Sus scrofa: one gene and its partners. The protein of the gene in region 2 purifies or fractionates together with the protein of the main gene of each other region. This does not show direct contact. Links are inferred from orthologs where the notes say so. Each region holds a gene or a part of one and is shown on either strand. Other genes may lie near its edges.

The links. Proteins that work in one complex are often made in the same cells at the same time.
Region 1: the proteins of SKP2 (region 2) and FOXO1 purify together in Homo sapiens (affinity purification with western blotting; 4 studies listed by BioGRID). This does not show direct contact. The link is inferred for Sus scrofa from reciprocal best matches to the Homo sapiens genes SKP2 and FOXO1.
Region 3: the proteins of SKP2 (region 2) and DUSP1 purify together in Homo sapiens (affinity purification with western blotting; 3 studies listed by BioGRID and IntAct, with this or other methods). This does not show direct contact. The link is inferred for Sus scrofa from reciprocal best matches to the Homo sapiens genes SKP2 and DUSP1.
Region 4: the proteins of SKP2 (region 2) and CCNA1 purify together in Homo sapiens (affinity purification with western blotting; 4 studies listed by BioGRID). This does not show direct contact. The link is inferred for Sus scrofa from reciprocal best matches to the Homo sapiens genes SKP2 and CCNA1.

What each region holds. Positions count from the first base shown.
Region 1 is NC_010453.5:15,407,260-15,411,378, reverse strand, and holds the start of FOXO1 (forkhead box protein O1), read left to right. Parts: upstream 1-1,319; 5' UTR 1,320-1,345; coding exon 1,346-1,996; intron 1,997-4,119. UniProt on the Homo sapiens protein: Transcription factor that is the main target of insulin signaling and regulates metabolic homeostasis in response to oxidative stress.
Region 2 is NC_010458.4:21,461,865-21,466,069, forward strand, and holds the start of SKP2 (S-phase kinase-associated protein 2), read left to right. Parts: upstream 1-1,405; 5' UTR 1,406-1,413; coding exon 1,414-1,421; intron 1,422-1,922; coding exon 1,923-2,194; intron 2,195-4,205. UniProt on the Homo sapiens protein: Substrate recognition component of a SCF (SKP1-CUL1-F-box protein) E3 ubiquitin-protein ligase complex which mediates the ubiquitination and subsequent proteasomal degradation of target proteins involved in cell cycle progression, signal transduction and transcription.
Region 3 is NC_010458.4:51,456,730-51,460,723, forward strand, and holds the start of DUSP1 (dual specificity protein phosphatase 1), read left to right. Parts: upstream 1-1,194; 5' UTR 1,195-1,532; coding exon 1,533-1,899; intron 1,900-2,175; coding exon 2,176-2,321; intron 2,322-2,662; coding exon 2,663-2,882; intron 2,883-3,315; coding exon 3,316-3,644; coding exon of another isoform or gene 3,645-3,685; 3' UTR 3,686-3,994. UniProt on the Homo sapiens protein: Dual specificity phosphatase that dephosphorylates MAP kinase MAPK1/ERK2 on both 'Thr-183' and 'Tyr-185', regulating its activity during the meiotic cell cycle.
Region 4 is NC_010453.5:12,394,749-12,398,948, forward strand, and holds the start of CCNA1 (cyclin-A1), read left to right. Parts: upstream 1-1,400; 5' UTR 1,401-1,577; exon of another isoform or gene 1,578-1,741; intron 1,742-2,032; 5' UTR 2,033-2,056; coding exon 2,057-2,221; intron 2,222-4,200. UniProt on the Homo sapiens protein: May be involved in the control of the cell cycle at the G1/S (start) and G2/M (mitosis) transitions. May primarily function in the control of the germline meiotic cell cycle and additionally in the control of mitotic cell cycle in some somatic cells.

The sequences.
Region 1 (4,119 bases), on a different chromosome or scaffold from region 2:
CTGTGGGTCTGAGGGTGCGTGGGAAGTAGGACTATCTGCAGCCCGCGCCGAGCCCCCTTCTCTCGCTTCCACTCTTTCAGGTCAAGAATGGAGGGAACCCGGCTGGCGGGTGCTGGGCCGGACAACGGGCCCCCGGCTACACTCGACCTCAGAGGCTCAGCCCTCGGGCGCAGACAGGTGGGTTCCGGTCGCGGAGGCGGCGGCCAGGGCGTCCTCCGCGCGGACACGACAGTCAGAGCCCGGGCCCCTGGAGGCGTGCGCGGCTCGCGCGGGGCCCGAGGACTCGATACATCGCAGGAAAAGGAAAAAAACACAAAACAAAAACAAAACCCACCGACTTCCCCGCGTTTCTCAGCAAAGGAGTCGAGGGCGGAGTCGAGAGGGGGCGACTGAGCAGAATTCCGCGAGGCCGCCTCCGCCCGCCCACTCAGCGCCCCCGAAGCGCCCAGCGTCTCCGGCCCCCGCCCCGCCCGGCTTTGGGCCCGGAGCGGAGGTCGAGGGCAAGCGAGCGACTCGTTCCACTCGGGCTTCCCGAGTACTCGGTTCTGCTCCCCGGTAGTAAACAAAGTGTCGCCGCCGCCTCCACGCTGGTTTGCCTCACAGCAATCAAAACACTGAGAGCGGAGAGACTCACAGAAACATTCGAAAATTACCAGAAAATAATAACAGAGAGCCAAAAAAAAAAAAAAAAGAGTGAGGGAGACTGTGCGTGTGTGAGAAAGAAAAAAACACCCCACTACCCCCACCAACCCACTGCCACCTCCCGCTGGAAAACCAGCCCCCGCCCAGGCCGGCGTCCACTGGCTGCCTGGGCGGTGCCGCCGCGAGCTCATTGGCTGCTGGGGCTATCAGTCAGGGGCGGGCAAGCGCGCGCGCCGCCGCGGGCGGGGGGCGGCGGCAGATCCCGTAAGTCGGGCGGCAGCGTAGTCGCAGCAGCAGCCGCCGCTGCCGCCGCCGCCGCCGCCACATTCAACAGGCAGCAGCGCCGCGGTCGCGCCGCCGGGGAGAGTGAGCGGCCCGCGGCGCCCGTCCTTCCTTCGGTTTTCGGGCCGTGTCAGTAGGAGCGCGACGCTGGCGCTGCCTGGGCTGGGCGACTCTGGCCTGCCGTCCCGTCCGTGCAGCGGACCTGGAGGAGCCTAGATGTTGATGGACCCGCGAAGTTAAGTTCTGGGCTCGCGCTTCCACTTCGCCGCCGCGTCTTGCTCCGGGTTTCCGTCCGCCCGCGGCACCGACCTCGCCCCCCAAAATCTCGGACCGGCTCTTCGCGCCCTCTCCCCTCAGCTCCTGGTGCAGCGCCCTCGCACTTCTTGGCAATCCCGCTGCTGGGGGAGGGGCGGGGGTCACCATGGCCGAAGCGCCCCAGGTGGTGGAGATCGACCCGGACTTCGAGCCGCTGCCCCGGCCGCGCTCGTGCACCTGGCCGCTGCCCAGGCCGGAGTTTAGCCAGTCTAACTCGGCCACCTCCAGCCCGGCGCCGTCGGGTGGCCCAGCCGCGAACCCCGACGCTGCCGCGGGCCTGCCCTCGGCCTCGGCGGCCGCTGTCAACGCCGACTTCATGAGCAACCTGAGCCTGCTGGAGGAGAGCGGGGACTTCCAGCAGGCGCCCGGCTCCGTGGCGGCGGCGGCGGCGGCGGCAGCCGCGGTGGCGGCGGCGGCCGCCGCTGCTGCCACCGGGGGGTTGTGCGGGGACTTCCAGGGCCCAGAGGCGGGCTGCCTGCACCCGGCGCCGCCGCAGCAGCCCCCGCCGCCCGGGCCGCTGTCGCAGCACCCGCCTGTGCCCCCCGCCGCCGCCGGGTCGCTTGCCGGGCAGCCGCGCAAGAGCAGCTCGTCCCGCCGCAACGCGTGGGGCAACCTGTCCTACGCCGACCTCATCACCAAGGCCATCGAGAGCTCGGCAGAGAAGCGGCTCACGCTATCGCAGATCTACGAGTGGATGGTCAAGAGCGTGCCCTACTTCAAGGATAAGGGCGACAGCAACAGCTCGGCAGGCTGGAAGGTGAGTGGCCTCGGGGCGCACGGCTGGAGCGGGAGGGGGGCACGGGAAGCCCTGCCTCCGCCTTAGGTCGGAGGGGACGGCTGTGCAAATTTGCTTGGCTTGAAAGTGCAGGGCACGCGGGCAGCGCGTGCAAGAAGCATCGGAGGTGGGTGGTGGGCTTGCCTCGGACCCGTCGGAGGATTGGAATAAACGTCTGTGTGTACGCTCTCGTGAGAGTTGGAGCGGGAGCGGGAAGGGGCGAGTTGGGACCGAAGTAGTGAAAAAAGTACGCCAAGAAGTGGACCTCAGAGCAACCAGAAAAAAAGTTCTCCAGTGAACGGAGAGCGGGGTTCACTGCGACCTGCCCCCCCTTCTCCACGGCCCGCGCGAACTCCTGCCGCTGCTCCTTTCCCTCCACGACCTCAGGGGTGAGGGCGGCTCCCCTCCTCCCCCGCGGCCCCCCAGCTCCCCGCCGCCCCGCGGAGCCGTTTCCGCAGCGCTGGGCGGGGGAGGCCGCTGCGAGGGGCCTCGGAGCCCCGCCGCTGGGGGACGGGGCTGCAGGTGGAGGGGACAGGCAGGGCGCGAGGCAGCCGGCCCGTGGAGGTTGGCCGCGCGGTTTTTGGAGGCCGTATGCATTTTGTTTTATTTTGATTTTATTCTAAGTGGCCTCGAGTGCAGGGGTCCGGGCGCGCAGAGCCAGAGGTAGCGTCTCCGACACGTGCAAAGGGGCGGCCACCGCCTGCGGAGCGCCGGCGCCCGGCGGCGCGGGGCGAGCTAAAGTTCAAGTGTGACCCTCGGCGGGGGCGGGAGCAGGCGACGGCGAGGGAGGGGCCGCGAGCGCAGGAAGCGAGCGCCTTTAAAGGGCCAGCGCGTCCTGGCCCTGGGCACCTCCTCGCCCGGCCGCCGGGCAGCAAGGCCGGCACGTCTCTGCCCAAGGAAGTGCCCCCAAACTTGGCCTCGCCGAAGGTTCGAGGCCTTTAATTAAGCACGGAGAGGATTTCCTGGATGGCCAGGGCTGGGGACGTGGGTATTCTTGCTTTGCCCCCTCAGGGTTACAGCGTTTGGAGGTACAGGTCCGAGGGGCAGGTGACTGGTGTTCGGGGAGTTGGAATGAAGGTTCGAGTCAAGGGAACCTGCAAGGACCTCCTGTCTCGACGGAGGCCTGTACACGCGGTGCCTCTGGCCGTTTTTGCCTTTCTGAGAGACCGAGAGACAGCGGGAGAGACACTCAGGTGGGGGCACATCCCTACCCTGAGGTGGAGAAGGCCTTGGGGCTCCCAGGAGGACGGGCTGGGGGAGGCATACCGGCCAGCGGTTCGCCCCGCGACTTCCAGAAGCTGACACTTTCTGTTACAGGTGGAAGGATCGATGTTAAGGTTCTCTGGTTGAGTCAGACTCCTCTTCACTCCTCCTCGGGACTGTACAGCATAATAAAGATTTTTCTTTGCTGCGCATTTGTTGCACAAAGGTTGTTTTACGTACACTGTCATTCCTGTGGTTAATGTGTGTCAAAAAGGTTAAGTTAATCACATCGTGTTGAAGCTCCTGGAGAAGGAACAAGGATCTTATTTTTTCCAAAATGTATTTTAGAGTAAAGGCTTCACTTAGGATCTGATTACCAGGCATTACATGCAATTTACCTAGGTTTCAAAAAAGTAAAGTGCCTCCTTATTTTACCCTTGGTATATATTCTTTAAAGTCAGAAAATGGGGGTTGTCTGCCAAATCCAATTTTATAACATTTGAATTTAAGTACTTGACTTACTTGTTCATTTATCAATCCTACTTGAGCTGTTGTAAAACCATTTGCCATTAAATTTTTTGTTTTCGGAATTAAAAGTACAGTGTGTACTTAACACCGTTTTTTCATGTCCTTGGAAATGGATACAGCCTACTTAAGCTTGCTGGAGTGTTTTTCTTTTAAGATAGGGAAAGGCAAAGTTTGGGGATTAGTTTTAGTTTTGCCTCTCAAATGGTCTTAAGTCAGATCATTCCTGTATTCTTAAACTAGGAATATAACTTAAGCATTTAAGGTTTATGCTTTTGTTTTTTTTTAATAGTTTCTAAGACTAAAATCACTCCCTGACCCCAGCCATTTTTATTAGGTTTCTACTTGTTCTCATTTTTTTCCCAGGTAGTTAAAGG
Region 2 (4,205 bases):
AGAAATAAGAAGGTATGCCACACAGCATACTGAGGTAACATTCTAATATTTTTGTGATGACGCTGACCTGCTTACTTCTGGGCTTTATAAATCCTCTCCACTTTTATTAGAGTTGGATTTTTTTTCCCCTTCTCTCTCTCTCACCCTGTTTTCCCAGGGTCACAGTTATAGTACAGTTTGCACAGTGGATTTCGCCCGGTCATCATACTCGGAATATGGCACGCTCTCTAACCATCTCCAAACTCTTCTCCGCGGAGGTAGGCAAAAGCAGCCTGCTTTTCAGAGATTAGGCAATCAGCAGCAGCCGGTCGAGAGAGAGCAACCGATAGGCTTTGTTAGTGGCCCCTAGCGTATACGGATACAGTCATGCTAGTGTTGTAAGACTGCTCAAGGCTGCAAAGGGATGCTCAGCTTTGCCACTGCGGACAGGAACACAGCGGTCTCCTGATCCCCTAAAATTCAACCACCACCTTTGACTCAAACTGCGCCTTCACTTACAAAATGCTCTCACTCATGTTCCTCTGGTTTGACCCTGACGGCGGCAAGATGTGAAATAATCCTTCGTTGCCATAGTGCCTATTTTACAGATCAGGAAAGGATCTTGTCCACAGACCCAATCCTAAGGGCTGCCCTCTCCCGGATGGAGGAAGCAGCTCCCGGCGGAGGGGTAGACACAGGCAGGTGTGACGCCCGCGGCCGCAACCTCTCACCTGGCGGGCGGGGCGGGCCACTGCCTCCACTCAGCGGCCAGGAACGTAGGCCCCGCGGCGGCGGCCTCTCGGGGTCTCGTGGGTCCCTCTCTCGCCGCCTGCACTTGGCCCCAGATCCCAAAATGTCTCAGGCTCTCCCCCCTCAGGCTCACCGTCCGATCTCGCCGGACAGATTCCAGAAGGACCTGGAAACCCCCTGTCCGCCACAGCCGTCTGGGGTCTGGAACCCACGCTCTTTGGCGACGGCGGTGGCTGTCACCAGAAGGCCTAGGGGTTCCCGGGAAAAGAAAACCTGTCGCCCGTCAAGCTGCTGCCATAGCCCGGTCGGCTGGAGCACCGCCCACTTCCGCCTCCCCGCCTACCCTGTGGGCCGTCCAGTGCCGCAACCGCGGGGGGTTGTGGGTATATGGAAGGCGGGGAAAGCTGCGAGGAAAGGAAGTAGTGGCGAGGCAGCCGGATTGCCAGGCAGGGAGAAAACTACAATTCCCAGAAGGCAGCGGGGCCGCAGACGGTAGCGGGGAGGAGAGCGGGCAGAAGTTTTCTGCGCGCGCGGTGGGGATGGAACGTTGATAGAGTTCGCGGGTCTCACTGCTGGGGGCTGGAGCCACACGCAGTGCGCCGCCGCGCGCCAAAGCGGGAATCCGGGAGGCGGGCACCTCTGCAATTAATGCACGCGTTTAAAACTCCCGAACCTGCGGACGCCATGCACAGGTAAACCGTTTGCAGAAAGGGGCAGACCGTGAGTGGACCATCTTAATTCTTTTAGGCCGCGAGTTTTGCTACTTCCTAATATTGTTTGTAATGCTGCAATGTGAATGGTTGCTTAACCTCCTCTTTGGGAAAACGTGGATGGGTGGATGCTTTAGTGCTGTGATCAGCGTGCGATATTATTTGGCTTCCCTTATTGGGCTTTTCTGCTCCTGTTTTCAATCACTGTATAATTGCCCTCTTCTTATCTGTTCCATCCACTTTGAGACATTCTTGAGGCCTTCTGCATGATCGTAAATCAAAAAGCCTTTTCGATTTGTTCGGTGTGTTTGGTTCTTTTTTCTTTCATTCTTGGGAACTCGCCGCCGGCACTTAAAATGCAAGTTCAGTTAGCTGCTGTGAGCGTTTTCGGTAATGCATAAGTTGCAGCTTCCTTTAGGCCTGTTTGGAATTATTCACGGGTGTGTTTTTTAAAGGAACGGGGGCTATTGTGCTTATCTGCAGGAAGCACCTCCAGGAGATTCCCGACCAGAGTAGCAACGTTACCACCAGCTTCACGTGGGGATGGGATTCTAGCAAGACTTCTGAACTGCTTTCAGGCATGGGGGTCTCTGCCTTGGAGAAGGAGGAGGTGGACAGTGAGAACATCCCCCAGGAACTGCTTTCAAACCTGGGCCACCCGCAGAGCCCTCCGCGAAAACGGCTGAAGAGCAAAGGGAATGAAAAGGACTTTGTGATCGTCCGCAGACCTAAGCTAAATCGAGAGAACTTTCCAGGTAAGGTATGAGGGTCAAACTATCGGTGCAGTAAGTGGTAGCTTGAAATATTTTGTTGGTAAACCTTTGTTTAAGGATCATTAGGATGGAGCGCTTTTAAAATTGCCTAATTTTGAAGTTATTTTCCAAAGAGATGAGAAAATTCGTTGCTTTAGAAGTTAACAGAAATGTTGGTAGCTGTATATCTTAAGATGCACAATAGACTTTGAATCCAGGAGAATCCGTTCCTGCCTTTCTCTTTAGGAAGGACTCTGCCTGGTCTAAGGCCAGCTTAGTGCCACTGACAAATGAGAACAAAGAAATGATCCTTTAGGATTCTTTTTGTTTATATTCTGCTGCTCTGGTTGAGGTTTTTGCCAAAATCAACTTTACTTATTTGTCAAGGGATTGCTAAAGTGAATGTTGAACTAGGTGGAAGAAGAGACTTCTCTTCCCGGGTCCATCCCCAAGTGGGCTTATTCTGGTATGCTCTGTCTCCATGACTGCCCGTGTTATCTGTTCAATTGCCCAGCCCCCAAACCTGAAAATCAGTCAGATTCCCACCAACCCCAACATCCATCCAATCATTACATCTTTCCCTTTTGTGTCCTGAATATTTCTCAAGCTGTCAACATCTGAATATTGGAATGGACTCATAATTCCAGCCTTATCCTCCCCAGATCCATCCCCCAGAGCCAGAGTGGACTGACTGAAATGTAAAACGCACCACGTCATTCCCCTCTAATAGCTCTCTGTTACCAGGCTTCTCAGGCAGATGAGTAAGTGCCTCCCAGAGTGGATCCAGAACTCCAGGAGTATGCAAAGCCATAGGGTAAACAGTGCACTGACCTGGGGTTATCAGTTTTTCTTGCTGGTAAACCATGTAAACCATTAATTCAGCAAATATTTGCTGAGCACATTTTATATGCTAGTCATTGTTCTAGGTACTGGGGATATAGCATTGAGCAAAACAAAAACATTTCCACCCTCGTGGAGTTTCTGCTTCGGAGAGAGGATGCAGGAAACATAAATCTGGTGTATGGTATACTAGAATACGTGCTATGGATAAAAGCAAAAATGGAACAAGCCAAAAGGGATTGGAGGTCCTTGGGTGGGAAGCTGGTTTGCAATTTTAAGCAGGGCGTTAAGGGAAAACTTCACTTGGACAGCAAGCTTTAAGCAGAAGCATAAAGGAGACGAAGGAATGTGCCATGCACATACCTTGGGGAAGAGAACCCCAAGCAGAGGGAACAGCTAGTGGAAAGACCCTGGGGCATAGGAATGTCATGTTTTTTCAAGGAACTACGTGGAAGCCATATTCCAAGAGTGGATTAGCAAAGGAGAAGGTAGTGGGAGATGGGCTAGAGGTGCTGTTGAGCGGAGTTGTGACGTGACCTTTTAAAAGGACACACTGATGTGTTGAGATGAAACTGTAGGGTGTTGCAAATAAAAACTCAGAGCCTTGTTGAGAGGTGTGGGAGTGATGATAGGCAGTGGTCAGCTTCTGAATAGATTCGAACATGTGAGTGGACAGAGTTAGGAGGCTTTGAAAGTGTCTGTAGAAGAGGTGATCTTGTTCTAAGCTGAAACTGGAGGTGATAGAAGAAGAGACAGATACAAGAAATAAAGATGAAGACTTGCAGAGTGAGGGTAAATAAGTATATACCTAAATTCCCCATCTGGCTTTCTTTGAGGAAAGGTTGACTGGTTGCTTGCTTGCTTACTTTAAAAAAATAATATATATATATATATAGTTTTTTTAAATTTTTTATTATTACTTAATGAATTTTATTACATTTATAGGTGTACAACAGTCATCACAACCAAATTTTACAGCATTTCCATCCCAAACTTTTTTTTTTTTTTTTTTTTTTTTTGCTTTTAACTCTTTCTTTAGGAAAGAGAACCTTCAGGTTACCGTCTGGGGATCTCTATTAGGTGTTGGATTCATTAGAAAGGCAGTAAAGGATTGTGGTGGAGTCAGACAAATCTGGCTTTGCATCCTCATTCTGCTGTTTACCAAGCCTGGGAA
Region 3 (3,994 bases), about 30 Mb from region 2:
CTGCCGCCTGAGGTGGGGGGTGGGGGTTGTCACTCGGTAGCCCAGGACGAGGGTAACCGCATGCGGGTCTCCCCAAATGCGCGTCCAGGTCCTGGTAATCCTCTTAGAGCACCCAGGATGGGGATTTCGAGTTAAGCCCATATTAGTGGCGAGAACCAGGGCGTGGGGGCTGGGCCCGGCTCCTGTTCCTGACTCCTGTTCCCAGCTGGAGGCTCCCAGCCCAGGGCAGAGTTAGGTGCTCAATCAGTGCACATTTGGGGAATAAAGAGATGGAGTGGCTACAACTGTCTTTAAGTAAACGTGACCCAAAACATGTCTGGCGGCCTCGGGAGGGCGCTGTCGAGCCGCGCTGGGGGGGGGGTCCGCCTCCCTTAACACGGAACCCCGCAGTCCTCGACCTGACTTTACGACCCCCCCGACCAGGATTTCAGCCCTCTGAAATCTTCTAACCTTTCTTAGTTCACAATGGTCTGGGCAAGCACATGACTGAGAAAGACCTTTTTCCTCTTGGGTTTGACTGGAAGGCATTTTACTTGTTAAATGTACATTTTATTTTTAAGTAACAGGAGAGTAGTCTGGGGAGTAGGAAAATATTTCCCTGAACACCTCCACCCCAACTCACCCCGGTTGTTCTTGGCTGGACAAACTCGTTAATTTTCCTCCAACCTTCATTTCAGGCTCCTCTCTGTCCCTCGACCCCCAGCAGCGTGATGCTGGGCAAGTAAATAGCCTCTCCTTGAGAACCTGTTTCCTCGCCTGTTGGGGATGAGGAAATGAGAGAAAGGGGCCCACATCTCTGCAAAAACGCAGGAAACCCCTTTCCGTTCTGCTCTGCGGCGGAGGGGGCGCGGGGAAGGGGCACAGGGCGGGGGGAAGGGAGGCGGAGGCCGGTGGCATGCGGCCTGATCTCCCAGCCGCTCTCAACACCGAGGTCAGCCTTCAGCTGCTCGCGCGCCCTTCCTCTCTCCTCCCTGCCGGTCCCGGAGAGTAGCTCGGGCCAGCTCCCCGGGGACGCGCCAGGCGCAGGCCGGACGGCCCGGCGGGGGATGGGACCCGAGCCAGAGCGCAGCCAGCGGACCCCACTCAGAGGCCGATGACGTCTTCCCCTTTGGCTCGGCCGGCGCCAAGCCCGGCAGGGCGGGTGACGTCACCACACCGGTCACGTGACCGTCATTCAAACAAACAACCCCCTCCCCTTGCGCGCGCGCGCGCGCGCGCGCCTCCGCGCGCCCCTCCCCGCCCCGCCCGCCGAGAGGCCACATATAAGCGCGCTTCCCGCGGGTCTGACTCGCCGTGAAGGACGTTGGGGTTGTAGGTTCTACGCGGGTTGGAGGGGCAGGCAGGGGAGCAGTAAGGAACCCGAGGCGGTCGAGAGACCCGCACGAAGACCCTTCGCTCAGCCCAGAGGCAGTTTGGAGTTTGGCTTAAAGAAAACGAGGGTCAGGCTTTTCCTCGAAAGCCGTCGCCCTCCCCTTGGCTTCCGAGGACAAAGAGCACAAGAAGACTTCACGCTGGGGGCGCTGGGGCCGGCCATGGTCATGGAAGTGGGATCCCTGGACGCCGGAGGCCTGAGGACGCTGCTGCGGGAGCGCGCGGCGCAGTGTCTGCTGTTGGACTGTCGCTCCTTCTTCGCTTTCAACGCCGGCCACATCGCCGGCTCCGTCAACGTGCGCTTCAGTACCATCGTGCGGCGCCGGGCCAAGGGCGCCATGGGCCTGGAGCACATCGTGCCCAACGCGGAGCTGCGCGGCCGCCTGCTGGCCGGCGCCTACCACGCCGTGGTGCTGCTGGACGAGCGCAGCGCTGCCTTGGAGTGCGCCAAACGCGACGGCACCCTGGCTCTGGCCGCCGGAGCGCTCTGCCGCGAGGCGCGCGGCGCGCAAATCTTCTTGCTCAAAGGTACGCCCTCGGGGACGCTCAGGGGCGGGCCGCACGCCCCCTGTCGCCTAGCCCGGGGACCCCCGGCTCTCAGCATCTAGGGGACTGCCCCACCTGGAGCGCCTGGGCGCTCGATCCGCATTCTGGGGACTTGTTGGCTTTGTTTGGTCTGTGAACAAAGACTCGCCTGGGCCTCTCCGGGGTAAACTTCCAGTCCCGTTGGATAGCGGAGTTGTTTGAAGGGTGCCCTGTGTCGGCGGTACTAATGGGAAAAAAAATGTCTCTTTGTATTCCCAGGAGGATATGAAGCTTTTTCTGTTTCCTGCCCGGAGCTCTGCAGCAAACAGTCGACCCCCATGGGGCTCAGCCTTCCCCTGAGTACTAGCGTCCCTGACAGCACCGAATCAGGGTGCAGTTCTTGCAGCACTCCACTCTACGATCAGGTTAGTAGGGGGCCTTACCAGAGGGGAGAAGGAACAGCTGGTAAATGTAGGAGAATATAGAAAGTGACATGCAGCTTTATTTATAACGGGGGACACGGGGATATTTATCCCGTGGTTAAGTGGTATGATGGAGCTGAGTCTCTAATTGTTGGCACTACAGAAGTGAACTTTGTTGGCCCTGCCCAAGCAACTGGGCTTAGTCCCCTATTTTCTATACCAGCAAGATGCTGCGAAGGTCACCCAGTATTGAAACTGACTTGTTCAGGGAGTTTTTGTGGGTGTGGGCATGAGCATTGCCATTGAACAAGGCTTGACAAGTGTTGGATGTTTCTGGATTTCAGGGTGGCCCAGTGGAGATCCTACCCTTTCTCTACCTGGGGAGTGCCTACCATGCTTCTCGCAAGGACATGCTGGATGCCTTGGGTATCACTGCCTTGATCAACGTCTCGGCCAACTGTCCCAACCATTTTGAGGGTCACTACCAGTACAAGAGCATCCCCGTTGAGGACAACCACAAGGCGGACATCAGCTCCTGGTTCAATGAGGCAATCGATTTCATCGGTAAATAAGTGGAACAAGATGCCTGGGACCTGTGCCTCCCTGTTTTAGTTTGAGCCACCGAGCCTAAACTCTACAGCAAGAACTTGAGGGACATTCTTTTAAGCTGTAGACATTACTCTCAGTCAGGTGTGGGTGGCATCCCTATGAAGCATAGATTTGATGTCCCACTTTACAGGTTAGCAAACCGAATCTCAGAATGTTGACTTAATTTGTCCCACATGGGTCTGCTCACATGCCCTGGTCTGGGTTTACATGCCCTGTTCCTCTTGCGCAGTGCCCCCATCCGCCTCCAGGAACAGGGCCCATGTGATGGCATGAGGTGATAGTGACCACCTCTGGACAGGACACACACAGCATCTCTTAGACACCCTCTCCCTGGGGTTGGGGTTGTTCTCCTGGGCTCTCAAGTAACCCGCTGCCCTTTGTTTTCCAGATTCCATCAAGAATGCCGGCGGAAGGGTGTTTGTCCACTGCCAGGCGGGCATTTCCCGATCGGCCACCATCTGCCTCGCTTACCTCATGAGGACTAACCGAGTCAAGCTGGACGAGGCCTTTGAGTTTGTGAAGCAGAGGAGGAGCATCATCTCCCCCAACTTCAGCTTCATGGGCCAGCTGCTGCAGTTTGAGTCCCAGGTCCTGGCCCCGCACTGCTCGGCGGAGGCTGGGAGCCCGGCCATGGCCGTGCTGGACCGAGGCGCCTCCACCACCACCGTCTTCAACTTCCCCGTCTCCATCCCCGTCACCCCACGAACAGTGCGTTGAGCTACCTTCAGAGCCCCATCACGACCTCTCCCAGCTGCTGAAAGGCCACGGGAGGTGATCTTCACAACCCACCGGGACTCCAGGCTCCTTCTTGCAAGGAGACATGCAATAACTCCAAGGAAGGGGGCTCGCGAGGGCTGGTCCTTCCTTATTTAATTTCATCCGAATTCCACTGGGTTCCTGGGCGGTCCTGGGGATGACTTGGCGCCAAGACCGTCTGCTGAACTCAGCACATTGGGGACCAACATGCCGTGCGTGGGTGCATCAAGTCTCTGACAAAAGGGGCAGAAGAGAGAGGACTCGGTGTGCGAGCCGATTTTTTTCTGCTGGGCCCTGTTTCCTGAAGAAAC
Region 4 (4,200 bases), on a different chromosome or scaffold from region 2:
TAGGAGCTGTAGCTGCAGGCCTATACCACAGCCACATCAGATTCAAGCCCCGTCTTCCATCTACACCAGCAGCTCATGGCAACGCTGGATCCTTAACCCAAAGAGCGGAGGCCAGGGATCAAACCGCAATTTCCTGGTTCCTAGTCGGATTCCTTTCCGCTGCACCACGAGGGGAACTTTGATAACTGATCAGCTAATCATTTCTTAAAATGCTCATTTAAATGGTTTTGGTGGTCTGCTTAGGGATGAGCATTTAAAAAAATAAAAGCAGACAAAAGCAGCAACGTTTTATATGCAATGTGTATATGTGTGTGCACACAGATACACACACATGTGCACACAAATATTTTCCAAAAAATCACAACGTTAAAGACTCTTTTACCTGCCTTGCCAGTTAACTTCTGCGGGTGGACCCCCATCCAAGGATTTTCCTCCCCACGTGGCGAGGCCACCTGCCCCGAACCCAGTTCCGAGCCTCATTACGTTCTCCCTCAACGTCCCAAGCCCCATCGCTGCCACCCGCGTTCCTTCCTCTTCCTGGGCCACTATCTCGGCGTTCCTGGACCCGCCTCAGGCCGTGACTGCCGGAACCCGCCAGGGAAGACCTCTCGTGGGGACTGTCCGCACCACGTGCGACCCTAAAACCCCAGATCTCCTCTCCCACCCTGCCGGGCCAAATGCACCAGAACCCGGGCCGACCAGGAGCAACCTCTGGTGCGCAAGGACTCAAAATGAGCGAGGACACGCCGCCACCACGGATTAGGAAGCCCCAGCCCAAACCAGGGGCCAACCCGCAGCTATGTGGCCTCTCTCTGGGAGAAGGTGTAGGTGTGTGGGCCAGCGAAGGGGATCTAGCCGCGCTCTGGGGCGGGCGCGGTCAAGGCGCCACGGCCTGCGCAGCCCCGAGGGCCCCGCGTCGCTCTCCCGAGCCAAGGTTCTCAGGAGCGGGCCGAGGAAAAGACGTTGGCGGGAGGAGTTAGTGGCTGTTGGGAGAACGGGTTCAAGGAAACAGTCCCTTCCAAACCCTGGCCATCGCGGGGTGGGCCTTCTTCCTCCCTGCCAGACCCGGGAGGCCAGCCAGAAAGGGCGCGGGTGCCCGCGGCGACCCGCTCGCCCGGGCACGCCCGGGCAGGGCAGCGCAGGAAGAGCCCGGGGCGGCTGCCGGTTGGTCCCTCCCAGCCCTGAACGCCCAGGGGTCGCGGTGCGTCCGCCCCGAGCGTGTCAGGTGAGGAGGTCGCCATAGCGATGCGACCCGGATCGCGCACGCCGGCCGCGGTTGGCATGGAAACGGCCCCCCCGTGAGGCCCGAGAGCGCCGCTGATTGGCCGATTCAACAGACGCGGGGGGCGGGGGAGTTGAAAATAATTAGAGCTGAGGAGCTGGCAGCCCAGGCTGAGATCCCGGCGCCAAGGCTGGAATCTATTAACACCTCGGTCCCCTTCCGCCTCGCCCCGCCCCGCCCCCGCCCCCTTAGGCTGCCCCTCATTCCCAATCCTGGTGTGCACTTGCCAATTGTTCGAGACATATATAAAGACATAAAGCTGAGACGAGCGAGGCCCGCTGTGGGCTTCAAGCAGGTTTTGGGGTCTTATGTCTTGCGGGAGGAGGGCCGCGGAAGAGCACGCTTCTTGTCACTTGGGAAGGGGATATATTTTCCCACAGTGATGTATCCTGGGTCGACTGCAGGCAGAGGGATGGTGGGGTGATGGATAAGTCTCATAGCCGGAAAAGACATAGACCTGTAGGTTTGGACTCCCAATTAACCTGGGGCTTAGTGTCCGGCCGTGGAGGTCTGCCTTCCTCCTTCCAGCCGTCAGCCTGGTTTGGGAAGAAAGCCTGGAGAGATTCAAATCCCTGTTTTGGTTCAAAGTAGCTTTGATCGCTTGCACCGTGGCTCAGGCCTTTTCAACCCTAATAACTGCAGTGAAGATCATATGTTTCAGTGCTCTCTCTTCTGGGGATTTGCTGCATTCTGGAGCCCGTGCTGGAAGAGGTTGACTAACCAGCATGTCTGTTTCTCCTTCCCTGATAGCAGTAGCCTGTGGAGACTGAGGCTATGCATCTCAGTAGCTCCAAGAGCGGGAGAGTGCTGGCTCCAGTGTCCGGAGGTCCTGATGCCTGTCAGATGATGTCCAGAGCCCAGCTCAGCCAGGATCCACCACAAAGAACAGTACTAGGGGTGCTAACCGAGAATGGGCAATACAGGAGGACCTGTGGCCAGGTAACGACTGAGAAGAGCTGGGACGGTTACCTGTTGAGAAGGGCTCTCATGTCATGGTGAGAGGTGGGTTTCTCTGGCAGTTTTACCTACAGACGTCCCCTGAGTATTTCAACCCTGGAATCTGGACTAGAGGGACCTTGATTTATTAAAGATTTCTTTCTTGGGTCCTTTTTCTAGCTAGAAATATTGAATACTTTTCTGTTATTTTTCCGATATCAAGGAAAGAAACCTAGGAACTGTTTAGAGTAAGTATGCGTAAAGTCATTTAAGTTCTGGGCTAAAAGGAAATGAGAATGCTCCAAAATAAACTGTGGAACTGGGGTTCCCACAGATTGGAGCGGTATCCACACTGATCTCGGCTGTGCCTGAGGCATCCTGGGTAACTTTTAAGTTCATTGGTGATGGTGTAGAATCAGGATTGGATCAGCCTATCCTAGATTACTTCAAAATGCGTGCTTTGAAAGTAGACTTCTCTCCAGGACTGACTAAGGACAGTTGGGCAAACAGCTCATGGGCCATCTGACATTAGTTGCTTGCACTTAACGGATCAGAGATACTTCCTTTAACTGATTGTAAACAAATTCAGAGACTTATAATGTAAAAGAGGAGTTTGGATCCTTAAGAATGAATTTTGAGATTAAACAAAAAAAATCTAAGTCTGTTATTAGACAAAGCTTCTCATAACCATGCCTTAAGTCTGTAGTGTACATATGTAGTGGAATGACATTGGCAACCATACAGTGACATAGGTGGGCAGGTGTTCTTTCCATTTTATATGTGAGCAAATTTGAGAGGTTTAAAAAAGACCAAAAAAGAAAAGAAATTCATGATGGAGACCAGATCAGAAGCCTCTCCTCATCTACAGACTATTCAAGTCATCTGTTTTGGTGACATCTGATTAGTGAGAGAAAAATACCCAAAGTAATGTTTCAAGCGTTGGAAAAAACAGAGTAAAGGTGGTTTTAACAAACTTAATGTGCTTAGTGGTGTTTACTTCTTTAAACTTGAAGTTGAAAACCTCTTACGAATTGGCAGTTACACCTACGCTGACTGAGCTCACTTTAAATTCACAACTGTCAATTAAGCTCTGTGTTGCCTGGCGATACCTCTACATTTCCCGACTCTATTCCTCTGCACCCTTCTTATAGAAACCTCCTATTTTATACATTCCCTTCTCTTTTTATCCTTGAAAGCCTCCATCTCCATCCTTACTCTCAGTTAATAACTATATCCTATTTTCCTAAAAATATAGATGTAACCGGAAGAGAATTTCCACATGGTCCCGTGTACCTACCATATACTCTGCCACCCCCTTCCCGCTACGTAACCCATGTGTCCCTGCTCTTATGCAAGGGGAACGCCCCGTGTGTGCAGCACACCTTATGCCCTTTTGCCTTTTTAAGGATATCATTCCATCACCTTGTCTTTCTCTTTTCCACTGGATCAAACCCAGAAGCATGAAAATATACTGTGATTTTTTTTTTTTTTCATTCCTAAAAACCTTGCAACTACAAAGCTCTTTGCAGCAACTGTCCCATTTATGGCAGTATTTCTTGAGGGTTTGTCTATGTAAATTCCATCAGGATGAGGGTTTGGGACATTGGGTTTACTGCTGTACTTCCAGTGTTTAGAACAGTGCCTGGCCAGGGTAGCATGCGAGGATTTATTGAACAAATACTGTGTCTCAGATTCTTCTCTTGTTCTCTTTGACTCAATTCTTAATCAGTTCTCAAGCCTTTCCTTACTTGACCAGTTGGCAGCATTTGACATTGTTGATCATTCTTCACTCCTTGAAATAGTTTCTTCTCACGCAGTCTGGAGAACAGGGCCTGGTTTCCAACCTAGCTCACTGGCTGTACCTCCTCGGTGGTCCTTCCTCATCCGCTCGCTAAAAGTTAGAGTGTGCCAGGGCTTCGTATTTGAGCTGAATCTCCACTCACTCCCATAGCAATCTCTTCCAGTCTCCTGGCATTAAATAC